Linked DNA regions of Rhinolophus ferrumequinum. The protein of the gene in region 1 interacts with the protein of each later gene in a biochemical or structural test. Links are inferred from orthologs where the notes say so. Each region holds a gene or a part of one and is shown on either strand. Other genes may lie near its edges. The genes, in order: BCL2L1, PMAIP1, BIK and HRK.

Region 1 (7,991 bases):
GGCAATGTCTCCACCATTAACATTTGAATATATTTCCTTCCTGTCTTTTAAATTTTTCTTTTATTAGATATTGAGTAGTACATATACAAATATATTTACACATACATATGTAAAATGTATGAAAGGTACAAAGAATAATGAGGCAACATATTCTCTGTGCATATGTACAATTTAATAAGACCATTTCCATGACTTTTCAAGCTCCCAATTTAATTCTGTTCCCTGCTTTATCCTGTACACTCACCTATTAATGTGCAATGACTATCTTGAATTTCATGTTCACAATTCCTTTACATCTCTGTGTAATTTTCCACATATGCATATATCCCTGTATTAGTTACCTTTGCTGTAGAATGGATTACTCCCAAATTTAGCAGCTTAAAATTACAAACATTTATTATCTCATACAGTTTCTGAGGGTCAGGAATCCAGCTTAATGGAATGGTTCTGGTTCAGGGTCTCAAATACTGTTGTAGTCAAGTTGGTCGTTGTCATCTGAAGGCTTGACTGGGGCAGGAAGATCCGATGTGACTCAGCAGGAAGCTTCCCATCTTCACCACACAGGGGCCTCTCCATAGGGCTGCTCACAACAGGGCAACTGGCTACCCCCACAGTGAGTGATGAGAGAGAGATAGGTGTAGCCTAGTCTTGGAAGTGATATACCATCATCTCTGCCATTTGCTATCAGTCACACACAACTCCGGTACAATGAGAGAGAGGACTACACAAGGATGTGAATACCAGGAGGCAGGGATCTTTGGGGGCCATCTTGGAGGTGGCTGGCTACCACAAACCCTCAACAGCATATTGGTTAGTTTGCCTGTTTTCAAACTATATATAAATGGAATCATACTGCATTATTTTTTGTAAATGTTTTCATGTGATATGTTTCCGAGATCCTTTCATGCTCTGTGTAGCTAAATTCACTTATTTTCTCACTGTATTATAGTACTGTGTATAAACAAATAGTAATTAATGTATTTATCCATTTTGCTATAATGGACACTTGGGTAGTTTCCCAATTTTTGCTATCACAAGTAATGAGGCTATAAACATTCTTCCCCCCCTTCTTCCGCCTCCCCCCACCCATGCTGTCACCCTCACCCCCCCACCCCCTTACTCCTCCCCCACCCTGCCATTCCCCCCACTCCCTCTACCCCCTCAACCCCCTGCTCCGGTTCAAGCCGTTGTTTCTCAGTCTGGTTGTGTAGGACACAGCTCCCTGGCCCATGCTGGTATGATGAGCCTTGTGCTCCCCCTGCTGAGGCAGTCGGTCGCTGGTCAGCTGCTCACAGCAGCCAGCAGCTCTCGCTGGCCTGCCCGCCGCTCACGATGGCTGCCGGCCGCTCACACTGGCAGCCGGCCGCTCCTGGCCGCACACAGCAGCCCAGCTCCAGGGAGAGGCATTGTTCACAATCTTAGCTGTAGAGGGCGCAGCTCCCTGGCCCATGTGGGAATCCAACCGGTGGTCGACCTTGGTGTTAGGAGCACAGCGCTCCAACCACCTGAGCCACCGGTCTGGCCCTATAAACCTTATACCTTATTTTAGGGCATACATCAAAGAACAGAATTGCTGGGTCATAGGTCATGGGCATCTTCAACTTGACCAGGTAACAAATTTTTTTTCCAAAGTTATTCCACATTTTTGAACCACACTTGATTTGATTAGATTTTTTCATTTTTGCCAATCTAATGGGTATGAAATGTTATCTCACTGAAGTTTTAATTTGCATTTTCCCTGGTAACTAGTGAGGGGGAGCATCTTGTCAGGTTTATTGACATCTCTGGTTCTGTTACTCTTTAACATCTGTGCAAGGGGTTTCTCCATTTTTCTTTTGTCTTTATCATATTGATTTCCCAGCCTTTTCCCCATTCACGGTATTATTTAGAGTTGAGATCATATCACACATCTAATTTTGTATACTTTTATTTTCACTTTACATTAGACAATAAGTATTTTCTCATCGTCCAAATCTCAGCAAACAAGTTTTTAAAATACTGTTTTCCAATTTAAAAAATCCAGTCATTTTTAGATAATACAGAAAAGTATTAAAAAATAAAATAAAAGCATCCATAATCTTGCTACTCAACAATAACCACCTTTTTGGATTCTGGTTTAATTCCTTCAACTATATTTTGCATGTAATATACATTTTTATAAGTTCGAATACTTCTCAGTATAGTTTTATAATCTATTTTTTACAGTGTTATGTTGTGAGCATTTTCCCACATTATTACATATTCCTCAATTACAATTGTAATGTGTAAATTTAACCCCTATAAAACATCATCCTACTTATTGAACTTTTCAGTTTTAATTTTTCTTTCCTGTGTTATAGATAACCTTGCATAAATATCTCTGTTAAAGATAAATCTCTAGGCGCTTTTCACTACTTTAAATTAGATTCCAATCAAACATCATTTCTCAATGATCTCTCAAGAGCTGTTTTCAAGGCTCTTCATAAATATTGTAAAGTTCCTTTCCCAAAAGACGCTATCCATCTTTCCAAAATATAAATCTCGTCATGTCCTTTCTGTTTAAAAAGACTGGCTGGCTCCTTTGGTGCCTATTTAGTGTCCTGCACACTTAGGGTCTTACACAGTTACATTCATTCTCCTTTACGACCACACCCCTCTTAGCCGTCCCAATTTATTTCTTGAACACACCATAGGCTCCCACGTTAGACCTCCATGCCTTTTCTCAAGTAGTACCTTCTGCCTAAAATGTCCCTTACCTCCTTTCTCTCTTACTGTAGGCAAAATCCTGTTCTTTTAAGAGCCAGTTCAATGAATCCCATGTCTCTGGACAGAGTTGATCTGCCCTCTGCTGGGCTCCCAAAGCACATCGTGAACTTCCATCATGTTAATTTTCACCTTGAAAGAATCATCTCATCACAGATTTTTAAAAATGAAAGCAGATCATGTCCTGCCCAGTTTAAAACCCTTCCATGGAACATCACAGAAAGTTCAGAAATTGACCCAAACACACTTGGGAATGTAGATTGTGTTAATGGAGACATTTCAAATGAGTTGAAAAAAGATGGTATACCATATTGGGAATAACTGGGCAGTTATTCAGAAAAAAAAATTTGAATTCCTGCCTCACACCTTACACCAAAGTGAATTTATGATGGAACAAGGATTGAAATATAAAATATGAAACCATATAAAAACTCGAAGAAAACAGAATTATTTTTATAATATCAAACTGGAGAAGATCTTCCTAAGAATAACATAGAACCCGGAAGCCACAAAGGAAAAGACTGATAAAATACATGCAAAATAAACTTTCCATGGTAATAAATAATAAACTGGAAAAATATTTACAAGTTATATGTAGAAAAAAAGGATAAAAATTCCTATAAATCCATGAGAAAAAAAGTTGAAAAGACCAACTGAAAAAAGGGCAAATGAAATGAACAGAGACTTCACCAGAACAAGACACCCCCCCAGAAGAATCATAAATATGAAAAATTGCTCAACTTCACTCTTACTGAAAAGAAATGAAAAATAAAAGTGCCTCTCAATTTTTATTTCTGATTGGCAAGGATAAAAATATTTGATAACACATTGTGCAGTTCAGGATGTGAGGAAATAGACACTCTCATACTTTACTAATGGGAGGACAAACTGGTACAACTGCTATGGAGAGCACTTTGCCAATATCCATTCAAACAAATCAAAAACAAATCCATACACTCATTTACTGATAATTGCACTTCCAGGAATTTACCTAGCAGATAAACTCCCACATATGTAAAATAACAAATGGCCAAGTTATAGTATTATTTGTAGTAGGAGAGGATTGGAAACTACCTAAGAGTTCCAAAATAGGGGATTGGGCAAGTAAAGTATGGCATGTCTTTATAAAGTTGTGTGTTAATTTTAAAAATTGAGGCAGATCCAAAATGTAGAAATCAGCAAAAAAGGAAGATGTAGAAGCTTTTATAGCAAGCTACTGTTTGTGTAAAACATTTACACGTGTTTGTGAATATAGCAACCATCTCTGAAAGACCACAGAGGAAAGGGTGATGATCTCTGTGAGGGCAACTGGGGACTGGAAAGCAGGGTGGGAATAGGACTTACTTTTTAATTCTACACTCTTTGATATGTTTTTAACATTCAGTGTTCCTGTATCCCTATTTTTTTAATCCATCAAATTAACACAAAATAAAACACGTTTTAATGTTCAGAATCAAGTCCAACTTACTTCCATGGTCAGCTTTCCAACCTCCTCTCACACCACACTTGCCCTTCCTCACACTACCTTGCAGTCATATTGCTTCTCCTTCAGCTTCTGGAACATACCAAGATCTTCCTGCCTCCGGACATTTTACACAAGCTATTCCTTCTGCCTAGGTTGATACTCTCTAGGCTCTTCTGATAGGTGTGAATTTTCTTATACTTCAAGTCTTGGGTTCTATATCATCTCTTCAAAGAGGACATCCCTGGCCACCAAGTCTAAAGTAGCACCTCTCCCTTCACCACCTTTATGATAATACCCTTATTTACTTTCTTTATAGCACTAGTCGCTATTTGAAATTACCTTGTTTGTATATTTTCTTAGTTATTTACTGTCTCTCTCCATCTCAAGGGTTTAAGTCTCCATGGAAGCAGGGACCGAGTCTTGTCTTGTTCCCAACTCTATCTTCAGAAACCAAACAATAAGCATTTTATGAATGAATTTATGCAGCATATACTACAGACCACACACTGTTCTACAGACTTCACACATAACTCTTTTAATCTTTACAGTAACTCAATGAGGGAGATTGGTATTTACCCATTTTTACAGTTAAAGAAAGTGAGGCACGGAGCAATTGAGTAACTTGACCAACTGGCTTCTTAGTCACAACACGATGCTTTTTCGATATATAAGCGGACGGATGGGTGAAATTGACTAAATGAATGGAAATGTGAAATGTAAACGTTGATACAAATATATATACATATATATTTTTTGCGCCTCCGGATTCCCTAGCTCTACCGCAAGGAGGCGCTCTCTTCCAGGTCTTGACGCCAGTCCTCAAGGCGCGCACTTTTGCGTCTCGGGCTCGCGCGCGCTGCCGCGGCACCGGAAGTGACTGAGCTTGCAAGTTCCCCCGGTGTCTTCAGGGGAAACTGAGGCCGGCTCGTTCGGAAGAGACAGCGCGAGCAGTCCGCCAGGTAGGCCGGCCCGGGTCCGCGGCGCGGAACCCGGCCGCGAAGAGCCCTCGCGTCTGGAAGCGACCTGACCGACAAGGGGGGATGTGGCCCCCCACGGCTCGCGGGGCTTGCAGGTGAGAGTGCCGCCTCTTCTGTGCGTGGCAGGCGCTGCGCCCAATGGGAGCCCTCGCCGTCCCGTTTACTTACCGACTGGGCTCTCTGATTGGCTATGCTGGGGCGGGCCGCCGGGGGCGAGACCCCTCCTCCCAGAAAGGTCTAGGGGGCGCCCCTGAGGGAGAGCGGTTGCCTAGCAACGGGGCGGTGGCCCGGCGGGTACCCGGCCCTGAGCGCGGGAGAAGCCGCGAGGCCGCAGCCCACCCACCCCGGGCTCCGGAGAGCGGCAGCCTCCGGCCCCCAAGTCCTCCCGGGGGCACGAGGAAGCTGCCTCGGGCCTGGCCCCAGGAAAACGTGGTCTCGGCTGTGGGAGCCCTCGAGCAGGCCTCGACCCTTCTCCTGACCGGAGGAGAGGCCCGGCGCCTCACCCTCACCCCGTCTTTGTGCAGGGCGCCGGCGGCCATTGTGTCCGTGTGGGGAATGGAGGACCCGGCAATCCCCCACCGCCACCGCCGCGTCCAGGGCCTTTGGGGAATTCAAAGAATACCAGCGGCGTTTCTGAGGGGTCCCCGGCCTTCAGCCTCCCGGAAAGACCCGGGGATGGCTTTTCCGAAGTCAGACCGCAGATCCGAAGCAGTTTTCCCCTCCCTGCGTCCCTCATCGAAACCTTGAGCCCCATTGAGAAGTCCCTTCAGGGTTTCGGAAGCCTGGGCCGGTACTTAAATAGAAAAAAAAAAAAAAAACCAAAAAAACCTAAGCTCTCCACCAGCCACCTCTGGGAGAGTTCTCCTGGCTCCCAGTAGGAGGCGGAGGGAGAGCCAAGGAGCGTCTAGAGCGAGGGGGCTGGGCTCCCGGTGGCAGGAGGCCGCCCTCGTTCTGGGCGATGGAGGAAGAAGCCAGCGAGGCGGTGGGTTCGTGAGCTTCCTAATTCCTGTGTCGCCTTCTGGGCTCCCAGCCTGCCGGGTCGCATGATCCCTCCAGCCGGAGCTGTTTTTTTTGCCAGCCGCCGCGAGGCCGGCTGACTTACCGGCATCCCGGCTGCCACCTCCTCTTCCGACCTATATGATACAAAAGATATTCGGGGACTGCACCTGCCTGCCGTCGCCTGAGACAGATTTGAAAGTAGGTGGTGCGGGGGTGGGGATGGGATGCAGACTGCCCATGAGGGTGACTTTCCGAGGAAGACATTTCGGAGAAAAGGGGGTGGCTGGGGTAAAAAAAGGCCGGTGTAATGATTCAGAGCCCACTGGTGCTTTTAATTCGACTTCATTGAACTCCGGGAAGCTAGACCCAGACCTTCCTAAGAGCCACAAAGAAACCAGTTCTGGTACCTGGAGGTGCATTGGGATGTTGTAGGGTAAATGGTATGCATGTTAATTTTCTTTTTCCCTGAAGCTCTTTTTTTTCCTTTAGAACATTATCTTGGTTTTGGATCTCAGAAGACAACCACTAAGCAGAGACCAGACTCAGTGAGTGAGCAGGTGTTTTGGACAATGGACTGGTGGAGCCCATCCCTATTATAAAAATGTCTCAGAGCAACCGGGAGCTGGTAGTTGACTTTCTCTCCTACAAGCTTTCCCAGAAAGGATACAGCTGGAGTCAGTTTAGTGATGTGGAAGAGAACAGAACTGAGGCCCCAGAAGGGACTGCATCAGAGATGGAGACCCCCAGTGCCATCAATGGCAACCCATCCTGGCACCTGGCGGACAGTCCTGCGGTGAATGGAGCCACTGGCCACAGCAGCAGCTTGGATGCCCGGGAGGTGATCCCCATGGCAGCGGTGAAGCAAGCACTGAGGGAGGCAGGTGATGAGTTTGAACTGAGGTACCGACGGGCATTCAGCGACCTGACATCCCAGCTCCACATCACCCCAGGGACAGCATATCAGAGCTTTGAGCAGGTAGTGAATGAACTCTTCCGGGATGGGGTGAACTGGGGTCGCATTGTGGCCTTTTTCTCCTTCGGTGGGGCACTGTGCGTGGAAAGCGTAGACAAGGAGATGCAGGTATTGGTGAGTCGGATTGCAACTTGGATGGCCACTTACCTGAACGACCACCTAGAGCCTTGGATCCAGGAGAACGGCGGCTGGGTAAGGACCATGCCCCTTGTGTGTCCCCTTTTCTTGGCCTCTCGTCTGAGAGATCCCCAACAGCCTTTCCTCCTATCTCTTTCTGTTGTGCTGGGAGATTATTGGACGTGTTATTTAAGAAGACATGATTGGCCTCATTACACCACAAGAGGTTGATTGTTCTGAAATAGATGATCTCGTTCTTGAAGGACCAGGCATCTTTCATTCTGGTCACCCTCATGACCCCACTCTTTCATACTTGTGTTCCAGTTTCTTAGCAGAGGAAAACATAACCTGTGTGTTCATTTGTCCCAGAACCTTTGAGAGTGGGAACTTAGCCCAGTGTTCCTCTCACCCTGACATAATGGCTGGCCACGCAAAGGGGTGATGAGTAGAATGCCTGAAGAAGATAGTGAGTATCAGGGACCCACAGCCCCTCCATTCTTATTCCCCTAGAGGTGCCAATCCTGTCCTGGGCTTTCCTCCCTGACACCAAGTTCTCTTGATTTCAGAGTTTGCATATCTGATACTCTCAGCAAAGGACATGGTCAGGCAGGAGTTCTCACTGGCTTGGATGGCTGAGGATTGTCTCATTTTAGGGCAGTGACCAATTGTGTTTGTGTTTCATCTCTATGTTCATTTGCTCTGAAGTGTATAACTTTCT
Region 2 (7,479 bases), on another chromosome or scaffold:
TCAGGAGTCATCTTATTTCTTACATTATCTATACTGCTTTTGAGCTTTATTTCAGGCTGCTTAAATCCATTGTCAAGTTTACTAAGGGAATTTTGGTTTCTAAAATGTGCAAATTACAGGGATAGCCAGTTATTTCAGTTGGTTAGAGCATGGTGCTAATAACACCAAGGTTGTTGTTTCGATCCCCGCATGGGCCACTGTGAGCTGCCCGCTCCTTAAAAAAAAAAGAAAAAAAAAGTACAAATTACAAATAGGAGGAAAGGTTTATACGAGTACATAGAACTTTTTAAAAAAGGCAATTGGTAAAGGGAGACGTTATAGATTGAGATGAGTCCCCCCAAAAATATGTTGAAGTCCTAATTCCCCACTATCCCCCACCTGCCAACCTATGAATGTGACCTTATTTGGAAGTAGGGTCTTTGCAGATGTAATCAAGTCAAAATGAGGTCCTATGGGATTGGTGGGGGCCCTAATGCAATGACTGATGTCCTTATAAGAAGAGGTAAATTTGAACACAGACACAAAGAGGGGAAGGTCATGTAAAGACCAGGACAGACATTGGAGGGATACATCTGGAAGTCAAGTGTTGCAGGAACTGCCACAAATTGGAATTGGCAAAGGAGGATTCTTCCCCTGGAGCCCTCAGAGAGAGCATGACACCTTGAGGCTGACACCTCAAGGCTGACACCTTGATTTCAGCCTCCCAGCCTCCAGAACGGTGCAAGAATAACTTTCCATTGTTTTAAAACACCCAGTTTGTGGTGCTTTGTGATGGCAGCTCCAGAAAACTAATATAGGTGAAGATGTCAATTATATTTATGCTGAAAAATATCAAGTCTTGCTCTAATAGAAGGGGGTCCTCTCCCAGTCAGGAAATATGGGAATTTTAATAAGACCGGTTAAAACAGTGAGTTTGCTGACACTACCATCAGGTATGAGAATTCCAGCAGGATCTTCACTAGTCACACTGTCTCCAGTCTCAGCTCAACTAATCTAGTCACACTGCAGCCAGAGTGAGCTCTCCAGAATCTGATCATATCGCCCACCTCCTTAAAACCTTCAGTGGTTCCCCCCGCCCTCACTGCTTCCACAATAATACCCAAATTCCTCAGGCAGCTTCTCTCCCCATTTACTTCTCACCATTTCCCACTGCTCTTCACTCTCCGCAGGGAACACACTTCTTCCCTTCAGCCTCATTGCTTGGCCAACTCCTATTTATGCCTCAGGTGTCTATGTAGACGCCCTTTCTTGCTTAATTGACCTCCCATGGTCTGCCATCATTTCTCTGGCCCAGCTCTAGGCACATCTTGTTGTACCTGCCTGTGTGGTTACCTGTATCAGCCTCTAGCCTTGTCCATAGACCAGAAGCTTCAGCATCACCAGTATGTTTAAGAAGCAGTATGTTAAGACCAGCTAGATCTCCAGAATCAGAAGTGAACTTTAACAAGGCAGTCTTTCGCACCATGCTTTTGTAAGGTATTGCTCTTTTCAACACAGGTTCCATGGGGGCTAGAAAGCACTTTCTCCCCGGAGCCTAACCCAGTGTCTGTCTTAAAGAAAGATTTAACCAATTAATGCATCAGGGTGACTTCGTGTTAACAAACATGCTCTACAGGAAAAAACAAACAAGTCCCCTTTTACAGGAATAAACAGACTTAGGTTTACAGCCTATACATATATATCTTCACTGGCTTCCTTTAAATTTCCCCCTTATTCATCGCTCATATCTTCTTGTCTTCCTGTTAAATCCTATTTTCCACATGAGCTATATGAATGACTATTCTATTATTAATCATGTTTGCTGTTTTGTTTTCCAGTATTTTTTTTTTTAACATGGGAAGTGACAACACAAGCATGACCAGATTTGCATTGTCATTGTTGAACTTGGTCCATGAAAACTTATATCTGGTAGTAGTAGTAGTTTAAAAAAATTGTTGCTCTCACCAGTCCTAAAAACAACAACAACAACAACAAAAACATAATAGGGGATTTTAATGCTTCATGAGAAAATTTTATTTTATCAGTACCAGTGGTCAAAATATCTCCATATTTATATTTCGTGCAAGTTCTCATTAAATGATACATCACTTTTCCAGAGACATACTGGGGGTGCCAAAAAATGTGTACAAGTGGACACTTTGGTCAGCGTTGCTCAAGCAGTAGTTCGCCATAATCAGAAGTGTTGGGACACTGATGGTAACCACTTTGAGCACCTCTTGTAATTGCAGAAGTCAAATGTGACATGTATTCATCTTTGGTTATCGGTATATATTGAGTATTACAATTTTAGTACAGTTTTCCTTTCTTAAAATGTGTATCCATTTTTTGGGCACCCTCTGTGGATAGTTAAGAAAGGTTTTTCACATTCAGCTTCGATTTCCCTTAATAGAATGTTGGGTCTGAAAAAGACTGTGAGGCGTCTCAAACTCATCTTAAAAAGTCCTCCATAAATGGCTGATTTTGACCCCTCTCTGAAGCCCACCTCCCCCCACTTGCTCCTTCCTTTTCTTTCGAATTTGCAATTCTCTAAAAGACACAGCTTGCCTAGGTTTGTGTGGACCACGTGACCAACAAGCTTTTATAATGCTAAGATGACAGGACCGGATCAACACGCCCTTTGTAGGTAAACAATGACATAATTTGTTTTTCTTTTGTTGAATGTTGTCATTGCCTTTCAGCGTCCATGATTGTCTCAGAAGTTTACTAATTTATCCTATCAGAAAGTTAATGATGTTCCTTAAGAGTGAGGTTTATCAGAATAAGCCTCGAGGAGAGCCGCAGTGGTTTTGGGCTCTCCAGCAGCTCCGCAGGGCTTTCTTTGCCACTGGTAGAAAACTCCCGAATTCTCTTAATCCCAAAGTGTTTACCACACTCAAAACGAAGTTGTTTAAACTCAAATCGCAGTTTTGTTCCAGGCTTCCAGTGTTGTCTATGCTTCTGCTGGACCAAGCCAAAATAAATAGTCGAAGATTTGTGTTGATTGAATGATTTCAGGTAAATAAACAAGCTCAACTGCCTACTGGGGCCAGATAATGTAAATGAGAAAACAAACAGCAGGGAGTGTGGCTGACAGGGGCTCCAGCTCCCTAAGGGAAGAAGCACGTTTGGAAAACGGATCGCAGGTTTGTCTGAGTTTCCAAAGGACGCCAGAAATCCAGGGTTTTAATTCAGTCTCTCAATTTTAAATGTTGGTAACCAATGCAAATGTTCACAAGACATTTTGCAGACCAATCCTGTGAGCCAAACATTTCTACTAGGAAGCCACGCAACTCTAAGCAGCCAATTTGCAACCTCTGCATGAAATAGCGGGGCTAACAAGCAGCATACATTTTCTCAGAAACTGATCGCCGGAAGGCTGCAGTGGACAACAGCTCTGGCTCCCTGTGGGCCTGCCTGGGTTCAGATCCTGGCACTGCTCTCTGCCTCCGTGAGCTTGAATAATTCACTTCACCTCGGTAAACCTCAGTTTTGCACCTGTAAATTGCGCAACACCGCTATGGTAAAAACGCCCGTTTCTTGGCGTTGTTTTGAGGACAGGAGAAAATGCCCGCTTAAAAGCCTGAGCGTGCAGCGGCCCTCAATACCTGTTAACCAACCCGAATTACTTCTTTTCATAATAATGGAATTAGTCAAGGGCCAGCCACACATTGTGCAAATTAACTTCGTATTCCCAGGTAGCTCATTCCTCCCTCCACAAAAGCATTTGAAAGTTTTCTGTAGGATAAAGCACTTTTTTTTTTAGGTTACTTAGCATCCGGAATGAGCAACATCGACCTCTCCAGAGAGGAAGCCCCCTGTCTACAAATACACACACACACACACACACACACACACACACCCTTCCTTCCAAATCAAAACAGTGTTTCAATTTGTAGCTAACTTCCCAAGTGTCAATCTGGTACTTTATTTACTCCCATGGCCTCTGGCATCATGCCTTCTGTTATTAAACTTCTCTTCATTGCACTTTCCTGAAACTCCCCACGTTCTCCGAGTGTAAAAAACTTGCCTTTCCAAACTTTTTGGGGGCTTTGTTTACAGAAGTCTATAATTGCCCATTTATGATAAGGACGAAGTTCCCGGCCTCTCCAGCCCCGGCTTGCCTGCTAGGAACACCTTCCTCCACGCCGGACTCCTGGACCCCGCCACCACTGCAGCGGACTCCACCTCAGGTCCCTCGGCCCCACCCCCTCCTCCCTCACCCCGTCTGTGACAGAAGTGATTTCGGGACTGGGCAAGGTCTCGCCCGCCGAGCGCCCTGCACCTCCCGCCGGGGGTCGGCGCCGCCGCGGGTCGGGAACGTGTTCGCGAGGTCGCGCGAGGTGGCGCGGGGTTCCCACACCCCCCTAGGCCAGGCGCGCGCACCCCGGGCCACTGCCGCTCGCTGGGGCGGGGAAAGGGGCGGGCCTGGCGTCTAGTTTCGCTACGTCATCGGGAAGTCCCTGTAAAACGTGAGCGTGGGCTCTTGCTTCTCCCCAGAACCCGAGGTTCTCGGCTACCCACTGAGTGCCGTCTCCAGCCGGCTCCCATCAGGTCCAGCCCGCCCGCCTGGCGCGCAGCTCGCGTCCTGTAGACCCCAGGGTGCAACCCAAGGTTGGGGGACTGAGTTCCCCGGAGGTCTGCAACAGACTTCCCGCCGGCTGCTCGCGGAGATGCCTGGAAAGAAGGCGCGTAAGAACGCGCAGCCGAGCCCCACGCGGGCCCCGGCAGGTAGGGACCAGATGGGGTCCGCGGCGATCCTGGCCGGGGTGGGGGCCGGGGCCGGGGTCGAGATCTCAGTTTGGGTGGGGTCAGTCAGTCTGCTCTGGGCCTCAAGGTCCGGCGGGGTCTGCGTCCTTGCACGTGTTGTAAGGGCGCCTCCTGGAAGTTCTTCAGGGGTTTTACCTAGGACTGTGGAGACGGCGAGGGAGGGAGCCCGGTCTGGGATTGGGATGCAGCTGCATTTTAGCGGATGCAAAAAATCTCCTCTACGCGCGCCTTGTGTCCCTACTTGCCCTGCCGCAGGGCCACCGGTGGGGGGAAAGTGCAAGTGCGAGCGTCGGCTACGAGGAAAAGTCATTATCCCAGCAGGTGGGGAAGGGAGAAGCTCCGGGAGCCGCCTGGCCTCCCAGCACTTCCTAAGGCAGGGCCTCACCCTTCCGAGTCCTGGGGCGTCGTGGGCCGTCGAAGGCCCTGCTCCGAGCCTTAGCACTCGCTTCACCCCCAAACAAAAGCAGTGAGGACGCTTGATAACAGCTCTTCCACAACCGGCTGAAGAGTGGTGGAGGCCGCAAAGAGACCATTGCGTTCGGGGGCCCAGAAAGTCTTGCTTCTTTGTTAAGAGTACATTGTATAACATTTGAAACAATCGATATTAGTTGCGGAGTAGGGATAAAGAGCAGGAGTTGGTCCCCAGTTTTTAAGATCCTTCCATTCCTCCCCTGCCCCCACCGTAGCACCATCAAATAACTTAAGGTCAGCTCCTACCCCACCCCCACCCCTCCACCCCCCGCGCCCTTTTTATAAATCTTATCAAACAAGGCAGTCATCTGTTAAGGGGCAGTAGGAAAAAAGGCAGCAAAGCTTTGGCCTCAAAAATCCGTGTGGGCCATACTGCTATTACATCAGCTAGTAATAGGCCCCCTTTTTAACTTAGTTTCATTTTATAGAGCTCTTGGGACTTGCAAAGGAAGTGGTGCATTGGCAATTTGGCCATGGCTAAGTTGGCACCAGACTGCTCTCTCTGGCTCTTGCTTGGGAGGGAAAAATTTTTCTAAAATCTTTTGTGATGTCCAATAGTCCTGACCATGTTTTGGAAAGGTCTAAACTTGTGCGTAACCTTTACCCAGCCAATTTACTTAGTTCCCAAGAACAAGGAAGAGTAGAAAGGTCCCTCTTAAACTTAATTAGATAGTACTATATGTAAAAGTTGAGATACAAGTGACATATAGCATTGTATTAATTTTAGGGGTACAACATAATGATTTGATATGTGTGTGTATTGTGAAATAATTACCACAGTAAGTTAACATCCGTGACCACACATAGTTACAATTTTTAAAGTACATTTATACATGTGTAACTAACAAAAAGATTAAGGAAACAAATAGGGGCTATTTTCTGCCTTTTTTGGGGGGGGTGAGTGCGAGGGGTAATTTTTCCTCTTATAATTCAGGGCTTCCAAAATTGTATGCAGCGTAAATTTTTTTTAAGGATGGTAGGTTAATATATCCCACTTACTGCAAAGAACATGACTGTAAATACCTCTCAAAATGTTTGACTTGTATCCTATAAAGAATGGCACCTTATGATATTCATTAGGTCTCTTGTTAGAGATTATGAAAATTTCACCCTGCTCTTGTAACGAGAGAATTTTAAAATACACTTTATTATAAATTTACAGCTTTTCATTTTGAGCCTAAATAGGGTCTTTGCAGGGTGTGTTTACAAAATAAAACCAGATTTCAATTTGTAGTCATAATGACTTTTTTTTCCCCTTCCGCCTCCCCCACCCGCCTTCAAGCGGTTGTTTCTCAGTCTGGTTGTATAGGACACAGTTCCCTGGCCCATGCTGGTATCATGAGCCTCGTGCTCCCCCAGGCTGAGGCAGTCAGTCCCCGTAGGTTGGCAGCTCAAGGGGGCTCTTGCTGGCTGCCAGCCTTTCATGCTGCTCATGCTGGCCACCGGGGGCACAAAAGCAGCCCAGCTCTAGGGAGAGCCGTTATTCACAATATTAGCTGTAGAGGGCGCAGCTCACTGGCCCATGTGGGAATCCAACTGGCGATCTAGGCATTAGGAGCGCGGCGCTCCCACCACCTGAGCCACCGGGCTGGCCCATCATAATAACTTTTAATGTTCGTGGTCATGATCTTGAAGTGGACCAAAAGACCCTGAGTCGCTCATTGAAATATCCACAAAATTGAAATTATGGTCAGTATAGATTTGGTGTTAATTTCACTTGCTTAAAAAATTTACTTGGAAATTAGATGATAAGCAATATTTTTCTTAAATTAATATCCAGTTGATTACAGTATCTCCATCCTAAAAAAGTAGTAAATGTGTGAAGTAAATATTACTTATTTTCTGCTTCAGTTGTCTCCGTGAAGGCAGTGGATTGATAGAGGTTGGGTTTGGAGGAAGAATTTGGTTTAGAGTAAAATTTAAACTTCTAAATTATTTTAGAGAATGTGGGGTTAATTTTAGAATATGGTTTTATAAGTCTTTTATGAGAAATTTTTAGAGGTTTTTTAAGTGAGGAAAAGAATACCTTTAGATTTGCCTATAAATGAGGGCATAATTTGAGCTATGTGTTATGGCCATTTAAAAAATAAGTCCTATTGGAAAACAACACTGAAGATTTTAGAATTTGACTTCAGTTCCCCAACCAACCTTAAATGAGATAAAAAAGGATGACATCACCTGAGGCTGCCAAAGTCTCACTGACACGGACTCTGTGGTAATTGACATCTGTTCTGCTGTGTTTGACATATTCCGTTCCCCAAC
Region 3 (7,699 bases), on another chromosome or scaffold:
CTGAGGCTCCGATGTGTTAGGCCGTGCTGGAGCTCACATAGCTGAGAAGGGAAGTCCTTACCCCTCATCCCCCAGCATCCATGCCCCTCTACCCTGCAGCTCAGCTGGCCTCTCCAGACCTCAGTCTCCTTGCCTGTACAATGGGAATGTAATAAGGCTTCCCAACAGTTCTGCCCACAGAGGGCCCCACTGACTGTGGAGTCATATGGGCCGGATGTGCAGACCACAAAGTGAAGGAGGTGCTGCTAGCCAGCTGCAGGGGGAGAGGGCAGCCTGGGCACTTCTGCCAGTTGCACGGAGGTTGGGATGCTCCATTCAAGAGCCCTGGGCACTCTCAGAGACTCTGGGCATCATTTCCCCTCCAGTCTGCAGCACAGGGCTTCCAGATTCCAATTCCTGAAGATCTAGTCCCTTTCCTGCTCAAAGCCCTTCCATGGCTCCCCGGTACCCACAGGACAGTAGGGCCAAACCCACCTTTCTATACCTGTTCTCCAAGGTGCCCTCAAGTACTTCCTCTTCCAGGAAGCCTTTCCGGATATGTTTGCGGCCTCTATAGGAGCTGGCTCTTAGTTTTCCCTCTCCTGAGGCACTTTCTGTCTGAGACCCACTATGTCCTCGTGTCCCAATTTTGTCTCACTGGGGGCTAGGCATTTGCCATTGTCTTTGGCTCAGCTCTAGCCTGGGACAACACCAAACAGTTTTCTTCCTCTTCTTTAAAAATAGGAAGCGATGTTTTCCTGATTACCAAGTTAATACACGTCTATACGGAAAGTCTGGAAAATACAGAAAAACGCGAGGCAGAAACCGGAGCCACCTATCATCCTTACGCTCAGAGATGACCAACCACTATTCCCATTTTGCAGTGCTACACGCCCTTCCAGACTTTTAGATGTGGATGTGTTAAAAAATGGGGGATGGTACTGGACACACTGATTTGCAAGGTGTGTTATTTCATTTAACAGAGGATGCATCTCTCAGATACAGTTTCTTTTGTACAAATGTTAAACTCTTCACCAGTTCCTACAGGCTCCTTCAATAACAGCCTCTGGTTTTATTGACCACCTATTGTGTGCCAGGCACCACGCTGAGGACTGCATAGACTTTCATCCTGACAGCAGCCCTGGGACGTGGGGAATTTCACAGGGGATGGGACTAAGGCAGCCAGGATTCAAAACTCAAGGCTGAGTGACTCCTGGCGTCCTGGCTCTCACCGACCAGGCTGCAGGTTCCCTTCCCGGAAAAGGCTTATACCCCAACCACAATTTCGCTTCACTTTAGGGGGTTCACAGATTTCCTGAAGCCCAGCTACAGACCTCCAAGTGAGATGGGCCAGAGAGACCTGGGTTGGAGCCCCAGGCCTTCAATCTCTTGTTTGTGTGGCCTGGGACCCGCTAGGATCGCTCTCCGAGGCCCAGTTTCCTCATCTGTGCAATGGGGAGACCTACCCTGCAGAGGGCCAGCAGGGGCATGGAATCACCCAGGCAACACTAGGCTCTGGATGGCCTTCGTCCTGCGAAGGTACCCCTATGAGGCGTCCACCAGGGGGGTTGCAGGTGAAATGGCCATTAGGCTGCTCTAGCTCCCGGTAGGGAGCTCAGGCCCAACTGTGGAGAGAACTGCAAAGCCCTTTGATGGGTCCCTCCTGATATTACAAAGCCTCTCTCAAAGCTGGAGGATTTTCCAGATAAGGTGTCCCAAAGCTGGGGACAAAAGTCTGGGATGGCAAGTGGAAAAACAGGGTCATTGAAAACCTGTGCTGGCGCCTGGCTTCCCCAGGTGGGCCCTGGATGCTGAGGCCAGCACTTGGCAAACATGCTTGGCCAGCCACTGCTGCTCCCCCATCCCCCAACCCCGCCCTGGACTTGGGTAGGGACTGTTCTCCATCCTGGAAGTCCCGCGTCCTCACCTCTCTCAAGTCTTTGTACTAAGGTCTACATCCTCAAGAGGCTCCCCTGACCACCCTGGCTGAAAGCTTCCCTGCCCCACTCTCCACTCATCACCTGGCTTTACTCTCCCTCGAGTGCGGGCTCTGTGCCAAGCTGCCCAGAGTCCCATCTCCACTGTCTCTCCCACTAGGATGTGGGCTTCTGACTAGAAAGCGTCATCTCTAGATTCCCATCATCTATCACGCTACCTGATATTTTGTAGGTGCCAATCAATACCTGTTATATGAATGACAAAAAAAAAAAGTTGTATTAAGGACAAAACTGAACCCTAAATTGGTGCCAGAGGGCCTGCTGAGCAGCACGTCCCTAAACCACAGAAAACTGGTAATGGCCTCAACAGGAGAGGTTTGGCTGGCAGGATGGAGGCCCCCAGGGAAAAAAGGGGCTGCCCCACTGGGTCATGGTCTTCTCTTAGAGAGCTGGGTCCACACCCAGCCCGATAGCCCTGGGACACACCAGCAAATCCCAATGGAGAATGGGAAACTGAGGCCCAGGACGGAGGGTGGAAAGGGCACTGCAGGAGGTGTAGGGAGACCCGGGCTTGAATCATCCTCTGCTTCCCACAGGCTAGGTGCCAAGTGGCATTCCTTTTACAGAGCCTCAGTTTCCTCATCTGTAAAATGGGGCCATAAGTTCTCTCTTACCTGTGCACAGACCCTTTGTGGGTGCTCTGTAGTCTGTAACATGAGATGGCCAGCCCCATGGGGCAGTTGTAAGGATTAGAGGAGACAGAAAGTGCTTAGCCCTGAGATAAGGGGACCTGAACAAGTGGTAGGGCTGCCATCATTATTGTTACTGCTATTATCATGCACAATCTAACCCAGGGCCTGTTTTGGATGATAAGAAGCCAGGGTCTTTACAGGCCCAATTCTTATTCAAAAGGTGTTTTCCTCCTCCCGTCCATTTGATCAGCATATTATCTTGGGACCTTGCAAGGCAAATAGTCTTACCCACCCCTGCCTTGAGCTTTTCCATCCCCCACCTTTCTCCAAACTATTCCCCTTCCTCCATCAGTTTTGCTGTTTACTGAACACCGGCTGTGTGCCTGGTACTGAGACCCCTCTGGAGGCATTTTCACACACATCAGGTCTTTTTGTCTCATGAGACCCTGTGTCATTGCTTTCCCTCCAAGTCTGTTTTTTCATTTGCAGAACGCATTTGGAGAGCAGCCTCTATTTTGCAGAGGTCTCCCTCCTGCCTGTAAGGCACCCTGCAGCTATTAGCCAGGGTCAAGACATCCATGCTTTGTGGGGCTCAAGATGATGTGATTTGGGAGGCCTTAAAGAAAGGATTATAACATCAGAAGAGGCCAGAGGCGCCCCAACTGGAGGGAGGGGCCTTAAAACTTAAATTATTCTGCATAGTTTACTAAACATTTTAGGATTATTTCCTCCAGAGGCCCCCTACAGCCCAGCTGGGGAATGGGGGTTGGGAGTGTTGTGTGTGTGTGTAGGGGGGAGGTCAGTGCTGTCAACCCATTTCACAGATGAGAACACTAAGGGAAAAGTAGGTAACACTGTCTTCACTTCACAGGTGGGAAGAAGGGGTGAGGGGGGCTCCACCAGGTAGCAAATGGCAGAACTAGGAGGAGGGGAGCCCCTCTTGACCCTGCTGCTCCCCTGCCCTCAGAGGCTGCAGGACTGAGGTAAACAAGCCTTGTTGTTGTGTTCCTGGGACAATGGTCACTTTGTAATTCCAGCCTGCCTCCCTCCACCTCCGACACAGACCTTACCCCACCCCTCCCTAACCAGCCCCAGGGCTAGGTCCCACCCCACCTGGAAACTTTCTGATTTCACCTCCTCCTCTGGGAGCTTTGGGGGCCTCACTGCCCACCCCACCCCCGCGTTTCCCATGAGCCCAGGAGCCCCCAAGGAGGGCATCCGGCCCCTCTACTGGAGGCAGGGAAATGGGGCTGCGATGAGTTGGTGCGGCTGGAAGGAGGCAGTGGGGGAGGAGTGGGGCGGGAAGACCCCAGGTTTGGGTAGGATGCTGTGATGCTGTTTCTAACAAAGCTTGAGTCTCAGTTTTCACAGTTGTGAAATAGACTTAAAACAGACTTAAAAATACCTAACTCCCAGGGAAGGGGAACGGGGAAGGGGGAATGGCAGTTATTATTTAATGGGTATCGGGTTTATTTTACAAGATGGAAAGTTCTGGAGAGGATGGTGATGGTTGTAAACATTATGAATGTGTTTAATGCCACTGAACAGTACACTTAAAAATGGTTAAGATGGTAAATCTTATGTGTATTTTTATCACAATAAAAAAATAAAAAACACGAAACCAAACCTCACTCCTGAGGCTGCCAGCACAAAGAGTAGGACTCCTGGAGCGCTTGAATTCACGCTGCTACTTACTAAGTAATTTTCTCCTCTTTGAGTCTCCGTTTCCCCATCGGTAAAACAGGCGTGAAAAAAGCACCAAGCCCTAGGGCTGCTTTGAAGAGGAAAGGAGGTAGGTAACCCACGTAAAGATCCTGGGTTATATACCCAAATTCGGCCAGTGGATTCAACCACCTGCATACCTCGGAGCCTACTTGTGTGCAGCCCGAGCTTGGAAAGCAGTGCACAGGGCAAAACAAACTTTGCAAGTAGTAGGCGGCAGAGAGAAGTAAACAAGTAAACAGATCACACTTGTAGCAGTTGTGTTGCTACTCGTACCTACCTGGGTCTTGGATTCAGCGCGCTGGGACTGGAGAGGCGGCCCCGGGGGCGGGCAGGGGCGGGGCTGGCGGTTTATACGGTTGCACGCGGACTGCCAGCTGCACACAGGACGCCTCCTTGCTGCAGTTCTCCCGGCACCGCCGCCAACAGCATCGCTACCCCCGACGCGAGGTGAGTACAAGGCCTGCCTCCCCTGCGGGGACCTTAACCCTGCTGCCGCCCGCCCCCTCCGCCCAGCCCGAGCCCGGCAGGTAAGCGCCCAGGCTGCCATCCTGGGTGCAGAGCGGCTGAAAGGTTGGGGACCCGTGACCAGGTTTTTCTGTCCAGGGCAGCTGTCGGGTGTGTCACTTGCGGACGACGTCTCAAAACCCTGGCTCCGAAACGTCCCCTTTCTGGCGGGGGCTCCAGCCGCGGCCGCGCGGGCCTCAGTCTCAGCATCAGTGCGATGGGCGGCCTCTCCGCGCCCCGCCCGGAGGGCCGGATGCCCGGTTGCCCTGCTCCTTTCTCCTGCGCGGCCTCCTGGGGCCGGGCTCCCTTGCCCTCCCGGGCCGTGCACCGGGCCAGAGCGCGGGACTGGCAGCCTCGGGCTGCGACGACCCAGCCCGGTGTCCACTAAAAAAGAGAAGATGGCGTCGGGCACTGTCCCCGCCGGGACCCGAGTCGCCGCGTACGTGCGAAGGGCTGGAGACAGGCTTGACTACGGGGCGCGGGGGGAAGTCCGGAGCAGGAACTTGCGCGACCCGGGCGCGGCCGCCACCCCACCTGCCCGCGACCTGCACAGGTGCGCCTTTTACAGGTGCGCCTGCGGGTGGCCGCGCACGGACCGGCCGGGGCGCTGCGGCCTGGTCTCGTGAACAGCGAGCCGGCCGGCCGGCGCTCGGCTCTTGGGGGGCCGCAGGGCGCGTTCCATCCGGTGACCGGCAGGGCCTGCCCCACTCGGCCCGAGTGAGCCCCTGTGGAGCTCGGGGCTGGGACTTGTGTGACGCGCTTAGGCCTCCTGGCTGCAAATCACTTTGTAAACCGTTAATTGTTACTGTAATTTTTGCTACAATGTGCCACCCCGGGCGGTGGGACGTTGTTGTTTTTGCTGCTGCTGCTGCTGCTGCTGTAACATTTTTCTTTGGAGCACCTGCTGCGGCTGGGCCCGCGAAAGGGTTTTCCTGGTCAGCTTCGCTCCACCTTCCCAGGAAGGGAGGTGCTCAGTCTTATCCTTCCCCCATTAGGAAGGGGATAGACGATTGAGTTCTATGCTGGCTGCACTCCCAGGACGGAACCTGATTTTACGGATGGAGAAACTGTGACTTAAGTTCCAGGAAGCAATTTAAATGCTGTCTAGCATGTAAAGCCCAGAGCTGTGTTCTGGAAGCCATGCCAAAACCCTCCTCCATTCAGCCACTTTTCACCTGTGTTGTCCTACACGGGTTACTCCACTTCTGAGCCTCAGTTTGCTCATTCTGTAAAATGGGTCCATGAGGTTTCCTAGCAGGTGTAGAGAACACCTACCCAAGTATTGGCTGTTTTTGACTGGAGTTAACACTTTAAACTTATTTCTACTTATTTTGGGCATGCCTTAGGAACAAATCCTTAGGAGTGGCACATTTTTGTACTTATTGGTGCTGTTTTTGCACATCTTCCCTAACTGGTCTGTCTGAGGCAGTGGCTGGGCCTGGGTCCCAATGTTGGCATCTGGCTGTTGTGTGGTGCTCTTCACCACTGTCTTACTCTTCTCCACTCTTCTCCTCTCTTTTCACTCCAGGATTTGGGGATTTCCCCATTTTTTGAACCTCAAGGTCACAGGGTTGTCACTGATTGATTTAGCTGTGGCTTTTCCAGCCTTGCCAACATTAGGTTGTACAAGTTTATTTTTGCTTGTTTTGGGTTTTAAACGTCTGAAATGTTTGGGGAGACTGCCTTTCAAGCTCTGGACTTTCAGCCAGTGCCTCAGAATGTCCTCCTGGGTAGGGAGAACACATTTAATCAACCTTGTAAGTTGGCCACCAGTTGATTTTTTTTTTTCTTTTGGGTGGGAACTATCTTAGCAGGGATATGTATTTCTCCAAGCACCAGGGATCCTGTGACACTTTCCATGGGATGGTGTGAGGCCTAAAATAAATGGAGTGATACGCTCAACATGGTCCCTGTGGATGTCACACGAATCATCCTTCTTTGTTAGCTCAGCTCAGTTGCTGCCTCCTCTGAGAAGTCTGCCCTGACTCTCTCATCTGCAGGTGCAGCCCTCCCTCTCCTCCCACCAGTTCCTTTGTCCTAGGACGTTATTTTATTATCTGGAGGACACCAAAGACAGTGTGAAATGGCCCGTTTGGGCTCACTTGGTGTGAGTTACATCCAGGAGAACAGGAGCCCCAAATGTCATAGCCAAGAGTCGGGGCACACTGGGGAGAGAAGCGGGATAGAAGGTTGTAAGCATGTTAACGTTGTTAGTTTCAGGTGGTTAGTAGGTGTAAAAGCTGGGTTTGCTGAGCTGCAAAGAAACCAGAGAGCACTGTTAGCACATTTTTTTTCACTTCTGATTGTCTCTCTCTAATAAACGGAAGGGTTTTGGGGAAAGGTTCCATTCAGCAGTGTCGTGAAGCTGACCTCAAAGGCATTTTCAATCCTCTCCCTGGAAAGCATCCTGTTTGTAGTGAAGCTATTAAGTTTGTAGACAGTTAATGGCTTCTTGCTTCCCCTGCCTTGGACATAGTGGCTCCCACAAGAGTCGGCTGTTTTTCTCTCTGCCCAGAACAATTCCAAGAGGTTTTAAGGAAGTTCGCGGCATGCTCGGGTTTTGTTGTTGGCGGCCACCAGGAAGCCTGCAGCGGTCCAAAGTGGACATGTGCAGCCACCCCCGCGTCCCTTTGTCCTACTGTGGTTGGTTGGGGCCGGGCCCTGGGAGAAGTACTGAACCCAAGCAGATAAGGCTCGTTGGGCCCCAGGCAGGAGCGAGGCCAGGCCTGGTGTCCATGGCACTGGGCGGGCTCAGGGAGGGCAGCTGCTTTTCCTAGTGTCAATATTAGGATGTGACAACACAAAACATCCACCAGGCCTCGCTGGGCACTGCGTGGTAAACCTGTTTTTCTGGAGGTGGGA
Region 4 (6,510 bases), on another chromosome or scaffold:
GCTCTGGCCGGACGTTCCCGCCCCCTGGGTGGGGCGCCCAGCATCCCCGCCTTTTCCTGGGAAGAGAACGCGTTCCCAAAACCTAACCTGGACCCCAAGACCAGAGGAAGCCGTGTCCTAGCCCGCCTCCTCATTTCTTCTGGATTCTTCCAGCTTCCATCGTTCCTTCTAGCCCACTTTCCTACTAGCGTGCAACTTGTTCTCTAGGCTTTTTCTCCAGCTCCCGCGCGCGACCTTGCTTCTTTCCCTGTCTCGCCACCGGTTTTGTTTTGTTTTTTTTCCTTCTCTTTCCAACCTTTTCTCCCCCTCCTTTTCCCAAATTCCACGCTTTGGCTTCGCATCTCTCTCATCTCCTCTCTCTCTCTCTCTCTCTCTCTCTCTCTCTCTACTCTCTCTCTCTCTCCTCCCTTTTCTGCTCCCTGCGTCCGGTCCAAAATGTTGTTCCCTCCCCTGAAGATTTGGCAGCCCCAGCCTGGCCTCTACCGGTCGAAGAAGACCCTCTTTCCCGAGAGAGTAGTAGCGTATGGGACCTCCGGAGTCGGGCAGGAGCGCCCCGAAGCGCTCACCTCTTCGCCAGCAGCCCGGGCTGCGCAGGCCCACGCGACATCTTTCGCCTGCGCTTCCACGGCTCCACACCCTGCGCACCCCCGCAGCTCCCGGGGCGCTGCCACCCCCCACGCTCCGGCTGCCGTCTCTCTCCCGCGGGCGCAGACGCTCGGGCCTCGCCTCCGGGCGCCGCGCCAGCTTCCCAGGATGTCAACGCTCGGTGGGGCTGAGACGCGACCTGAGCGCGGGGCATCGTGGGCCGTGGCATCTTGGTGTCTCTGGCTTTCTCACCTTCGACCTTCACCTTCCCACCCTAGACCTGCCTATGGTGGACTCAGCCTGATTCTCTCCACCCCCATGCTCTGCAGCTCTCCTCTCTATTCCAGAATCTGAAAAGACATTTCTTACACGTTTGCTCCCTCAAAGTGCCTAAACGTAGTGCCAGGCACACAGTTGGGGATGAATAATTCCCCAACCCCAAGAGCCTAGAGCACAGTAGGTGCTCAGTACCTCACTCCCACTGGAGCGCCAAACACAGTAGGCGCTCAATACTCACTCCCCACCCCCACCACCGCGCAATGCCTAGCATTCTGCAAGCTCTCAAACATTCCCTCGCTAAACAGGGCCTAACACCCAGAAGGAGCTCAATAAATGCCCTTTCATTAAGACTTCCCCACGGAGTTTCCCTAAGAACCTCAGATCCCAGCCTACTGCGGGGGCATCTCCTCCAGCTCAGTTCCAACCGTCTGGTGAAGAGTGGGCCACGATCCTTAAACGGGACACCTCGCTGGAGAAAGAGCGAAGAAGTTGGCAGAGCGGAGGAAAACTGTAAAGCGCGCGGGCCTTTGGGAGAAAGAGAGCCAGCCAGAAACCTGGAGGGGGAGAAGTCGCGAGATGCGCTCGGGGCGCGGGAGAATAGGGAACAGAAACTGGAGGAGTGACACTTAGAACGGGGAGTGGCGATGATGGAGACGGTGGCGATTTAGGACCGCCAGGCGGCTCGGAAGAGGATGGGGCGGGGGGGGGGGCTTGTCTTGAAACAGCGATAGATTATAATTATTTGGCGTGGCTTGTAACTCTGTTGTCACAGCAAGCACACTTTTTACTTGTGTGTTTACTTGATTATGGAGGCTGAAGTCCTCCAAAAGCCACCCCTTTGGAGGGAATGGCAAGATGCGCGTAAGGAGTCGGAGAGAAGGGGACAGAAACGGTGGACCTGACACTTGGAAGGAGAGATGGGGACTGGATAGGAGGGGCACGGGGATCCTTGCGAGAGAAGGGAGTAGAGGAAGGAGATGGGAAGGGAAGAAAGCCAAACTTGCCGCTCTCCCGCTCCCTGGCCAGCCTAGCGTCTCCAGTCCCCAGCTGCCGCGCCCTGGCGCTCGCTGGCTGGCTAGCGTACCTGTTGCTCGCTCCGGCTGGGTCTCGGCTCCGGCCCCACCAAGAAGCCCCGCGTTCCTACAAGTTCCGCCTGCCGAGCAGCCAGGCCGCCAGCGCCGCCACCTGCGCGGCCGCGCACAGCCAGGGCCAGTAGGTGGGGAGCGCGCCGGGCGCCGGCGCCCTCCGGCTCCGCGCGCGGCGCCGCCACATGGTGCGCTGGTGCAGCTCGTCGCCGAGCGCCTTGAGCCGGGCGGCGGTGAGCTGCGCCGCGGACGAGCGCAGACCCAGGCGGCCTGCACTGCAGGCGCACACGGCTGGGGGGCCGCGGCCGCGGTGCAGGGGGCACGGGCACATGACCGCTCGCCTCGTTCCCTCCCCGCTCTCGGGCCGCCCCTCGCCTCCTTTGCCTCCGGCCTCTGCGCCTGCCTCCGCCGCGCTCCAGCCGCCGGGGACCTCCCCTGGACACCAAGTTTCTCCTTGTGTTGTGCGTTTGTTGTGCTGACGGCGCTATTATTAATTAAAGTGTCACATGGTGGAGGGGGGCGGGGAGGGCTGGGGGAGGGTGGGTTACATCATCCGGCCCCGGGAGGGGGGGGCTGCAGGCAGAAGAAACCGAGAGGTAACTTTTAACCCTAGCGGCGCCGGCAGCGAGGGGGCGCGCGGTTTGGGAGCAGAGGAGCGCGGCGCTGGGACGCGAGATAGGACGCCTCGCCGCGGAGGTCCCGGGCTAGGGCGGGGGATGTCGCAGGGGACCCCAGTGGAGGCGTGGAACGCCAGGAAAGGTTTTTCTCCTTCCGTTTTTTCCTGAATTCAGCTCCAGTTCCAATTTGGCCAAGGAAGCAGGCTTGTTTGCCGTTTTGGATAAAGCTGATATCGAATTCGGCTGCATTATTCAAAAATAGTCCAAGGCTATTGTTTTGTTTTGGGGAGGTGGGTTGGTTCAAAATCTTACGAGAGGGCCAGATTCAACCCAACCTGCCTACTTTCAGGTCTCACTCGGCACCTGTAGGCTTCGGATTTGGGCACACTGGACACACGCCCCAACCCCTCCTCCCCACCCCACTGCTCTTCTTGGCCAGACGGCACCCGCCCCCCGCGCTGCTAGAAACCCTGATGGAGGCGCGGTGGGGGTTGCAGAGGTCGAGCCTCAGCCCTCGCCCGCATTCTCTGCGCTCCGCACTCACAGCGGAAAGACCCTCACCAGGGGCTTTCTAGAAGGAAACTCATTTTTGTCGGCTTCCTTTGTGAATATTATTTTGCTGCCGGGGTTACAGTTTCTAGTGGTGATCACAGTTCGATGCGCAGTAAAGACCCTAAGGGGTCGACAGGGGTTGGGGTTCCACGGGGACATGAGCCCCTCTCTTTCTAAACCGACTGTCCTAGGTCCCTCCAGACTAGAAAGTGTGGAGTTGTTCCTGATAGTGAAGTTACAGATGGGCGAGGGGGCTCCCAGGATTCTTTGAGGGAGAATGAGACCTTCTCCGATCTTAAATCCATTGGGATTCAGATAACTTTTGAGATTCAGAAATGAGGAATCTTTGATTCTCTGCTCCCCACAGGCAGTGTTGCCAAGGCCTGGTAAGTCCTTTGGTCACTGGGAAAAGATTCTTCAAGACAATTGCACTTAGTTTGGGTCTGGATTTAGTATGAGGAGAGATTTTTCCTCCTCTACAGCATGTCAGGGCTCAGATATCAGCTCTGCTATGTGATCTTGGTGGCCCCTACTGTCAACCAGCCCCATTCTCTTACCCCTAATCATGGCCAACACTTCCTCAGTGCCTTGTATGTAAGTTCCTGGGCTATGGTCCCTGCCTGGCTGCCTAAAGTAAATCTCCCAACAGTTGGGGGGCAGGGGGGGGGTTGCTATTACTATCCTATTTTGCAGATGAGGAAGTTGAGGCACAGGGAGGTGAGGCCACTTGCCCAAACTCACAGTTTGTGAAGAATGAACCTGGATCTAAACTAGAACTGTCTGTGGCAGGCTCTAAACTCTTAACCACGGTTTTATACTGCCCCCTGTAATCTGGGAATAATAATACCTCCTTCTCAGGATCACGGCAGCAGAGATTAAATGAGAAAAATGTGTGCCAAGCACCTGGCATGCAGTGGGCCCCGGATAAACCTTGGTTCCCTTTGCTTCTGGCCAGAACCACTTGCCCATTCTCTTGGGACTCACCTCCTTAATCCCCCCTAGTCTTTGCAGAGGGGACCTGAGCCATTGCCGGGTGTAGTGTTCCAAGAATGAAGCTACAGTGTCTATTTAAAAGGCCCTTTGGATTTAAACTGAACCGTTCCCTCCTCCCGCCCACCCCCCCTTTTTAATCTGCACGCTTTTAACGGCTCACTTCATGGACATTAATTTTAATGGGACGATTATTACCCTGTTTGGAAGCCTGCCCCTCGAAATGCTGGGCTCGCAAGGTGGCGCTGGGTTGGGGCCCAGCCGCTTGGATGTTTTCTGTAGCAAAGAGAGTACAGCGTTGGCCATGGGGATGTGTCATTCAGCAGAGGGAGAAGAGAAGAGGGTGATGGAAAAGTGGGGGGAAAGAGAAGGTCCCCACACCCCACAACCACCCCCCACCACCACCACACATACTGGTCGTCGGACATTCCCTGATTGGCGCACACTGGAGTTCTGGCCGATTCCACTGTTCACTACTCGGGGAATGCGGCCTAGAGATGAGGCTCTTTGGAGCCTCCCTTCCTTGACTGTAAAGTGGGAATAATAATAGTACCTACCTCACAGAGTGAAATAAAATCATACTGAAATAAATCCCCCTTAGCACGGTGTCCGCCGTGTCATCCGCGTTTAATAAAGTTTGGCTGCTGATAATCTTTTTAAGTAGATCGTGTTGTCCCTAAACAGTGTGCTTTGAAGGATGTTGGAGGGCCCGCACCCTCAAAGAGTACATCCGGTTCCCCTACAGTGAATTGGTGATTCTTTTGCTGATGTTAAGTGTTGTCCAGAAAAGGCAACTACTTCGGGAGAGTAACAACAGAAGGCTGTCCTAACACTTTAGAAAAAAGGAGTGTTTTCTTTTAATGCTTAATTTAATAAATACTTACATAGTGCTGACTGTGCGCTGGGCACTGTTCTAAGTGCTCAGACATATCAACTCATGTAACCCTCCTAACAACCCATCTCATGGCACAGGTACTATTATTTATCCTGGATTATGGATGACTAAATGCGGTGGAGCATTGAAATCACTTCTCCAAGGTCATATAGCTGTGGGACCCCAGATGTTGGGCTGCTCTTTAGTATTATTTCACCATCGGGGATTTGGGAAGAGGGAGGGAGGCTGTTACGGGCTGAACGGTGTCCGCCCCCCCCAAGTTTTTCTATGGAAGTCCTAAGCCCCAGTACCTCAAATGTGACTGTAATTAAGTGAGGTCATTTGAGTGGGGCCCTAATCCAACCTGATTGGTGTCCTTATTTTTAAAAAGGGAGGGCCACCAGGGGCACAAGAAGGTGGCATCTGCAAGCTGAGGCCTCGGAAGAAACTTACCCCGCCGACCCCTTGATCGGGGACTGCTGGCCTCAGAACTGGGAGAAGATAACTTTCTGCTGTTGCAGCCACTCAGTCTGTGGCACTTGGTTGTGACAACCTGAGCAAATGAATACAGAGCCAATGAGACGTGAGGACTCTCCTGAAAGGGATGTTAGAAGCAGATATTCACCCGACTTTGGCTGCTTTTACTGCCAGCATGTGCTTGCACAGCTTTGTGGGTTCTTTGTGAGAAGGGTTGCATTCTGGGGACTGTTCGCCTGTTCCCCCTCCTTCCTTTTTCATGCCCTGTTGGAGATGTTTAAAGGAGGGGTTGTTTTAGGGGGTTATTTTGAGAAATACTTCATGAAATACAGAGAAAACTTTCCCTACCAGTTGCAAGGATGTGTTACCTCTCTCTCATAGAGTGAAGAAATAAGACAGAATTTTTTAGTCCATGAAGGCTTCCTCTGATACCCCAGTGCTTAAAATTGGGCAGAGCACATAGCAGGGGTTCAGTAAATATTTGTTGAAAGGAAGACTCAAGGAATGACTGAATGGATAAATGAATGAATGGTAAGCATCCTGATTTGTCTTTCTTTCAGACATACACAGTGATGTACATAGAATTGTTATCATCAATAACACAAAAAATTTCTTGTCCCAAATCATTTCCTTACCTCCTGCAGAAATCACTGCTCAAGTGTTTTGAGCAGGAAGGGGAGGAGGATTTCTTTTCTTTAATTAAAACAATAATTACCTATCCTGGTGTTTGAGACCAAGTGAGCCTTACCTTATGGTGTTTTAATTCGTGTGGCTTGGTGAAGTGGTAAATGAATGAACAGCTGTTGCTGCCTCCAAACAGCTGTGTTTCCTAAAGCCATGTATTAGTGCCAAGGCCAGATTGGATGCCAGGAGTTGGTGAACAACAGAGCTCTTGAATCAAAGAGTCATAGCAGCGTGGTTTCACACTCTGAGCCAGAGAGACCTGGGTTCGAACCCTAGCCCCACCAAGCAATAGCTAGGTACCTTCGGGCATATTTTTCACATTCCTGAGCCTCCACTTTTTCATCTGTAAAATGGGAATAATATCCAT

The links.
Region 2: the proteins of BCL2L1 (region 1) and PMAIP1 interact in a biophysical measurement, tested with the Homo sapiens proteins (3 studies listed by BioGRID and IntAct, with this or other methods). The link is inferred for Rhinolophus ferrumequinum from reciprocal best matches to the Homo sapiens genes BCL2L1 and PMAIP1.
Region 3: the proteins of BCL2L1 (region 1) and BIK interact in a test that uses a peptide from one of them, tested with the Homo sapiens proteins (3 studies listed by BioGRID and IntAct, with this or other methods). The link is inferred for Rhinolophus ferrumequinum from reciprocal best matches to the Homo sapiens genes BCL2L1 and BIK.
Region 4: the proteins of BCL2L1 (region 1) and HRK interact in a biophysical measurement, tested with the Homo sapiens proteins (3 studies listed by BioGRID and IntAct, with this or other methods). The link is inferred for Rhinolophus ferrumequinum from reciprocal best matches to the Homo sapiens genes BCL2L1 and HRK.

Annotation. Positions count from the first base shown.
Region 1 is NC_046306.1:22,755,776-22,763,766, forward strand, and holds the start of BCL2L1 (bcl-2-like protein 1), read left to right. Parts: upstream 1-4,985; 5' UTR 4,986-5,279; intron 5,280-6,086; exon of another isoform or gene 6,087-6,381; intron 6,382-6,672; 5' UTR 6,673-6,784; coding exon 6,785-7,348; intron 7,349-7,991. UniProt on the Homo sapiens protein: Potent inhibitor of cell death. Inhibits activation of caspases. Appears to regulate cell death by blocking the voltage-dependent anion channel (VDAC) by binding to it and preventing the release of the caspase activator, CYC1, from the mitochondrial membrane.
Region 2 is NC_046302.1:48,151,089-48,158,567, forward strand, and holds the start of PMAIP1 (phorbol-12-myristate-13-acetate-induced protein 1), read left to right. Parts: upstream 1-4,460; 5' UTR 4,461-4,649; coding exon 4,650-4,707; intron 4,708-7,479. UniProt on the Homo sapiens protein: Promotes activation of caspases and apoptosis. Promotes mitochondrial membrane changes and efflux of apoptogenic proteins from the mitochondria. Contributes to p53/TP53-dependent apoptosis after radiation exposure. Promotes proteasomal degradation of MCL1.
Region 3 is NC_046293.1:5,334,066-5,341,764, reverse strand, and holds the start of BIK (bcl-2-interacting killer), read left to right. Parts: upstream 1-4,685; 5' UTR 4,686-4,780; intron 4,781-7,699.
Region 4 is NC_046308.1:10,643,991-10,650,500, forward strand, and holds the start of HRK (activator of apoptosis harakiri), read right to left. Parts: upstream 2,281-6,510; coding exon 2,005-2,280; 3' UTR 1,949-2,004; intron 1-1,948. UniProt on the Homo sapiens protein: Promotes apoptosis.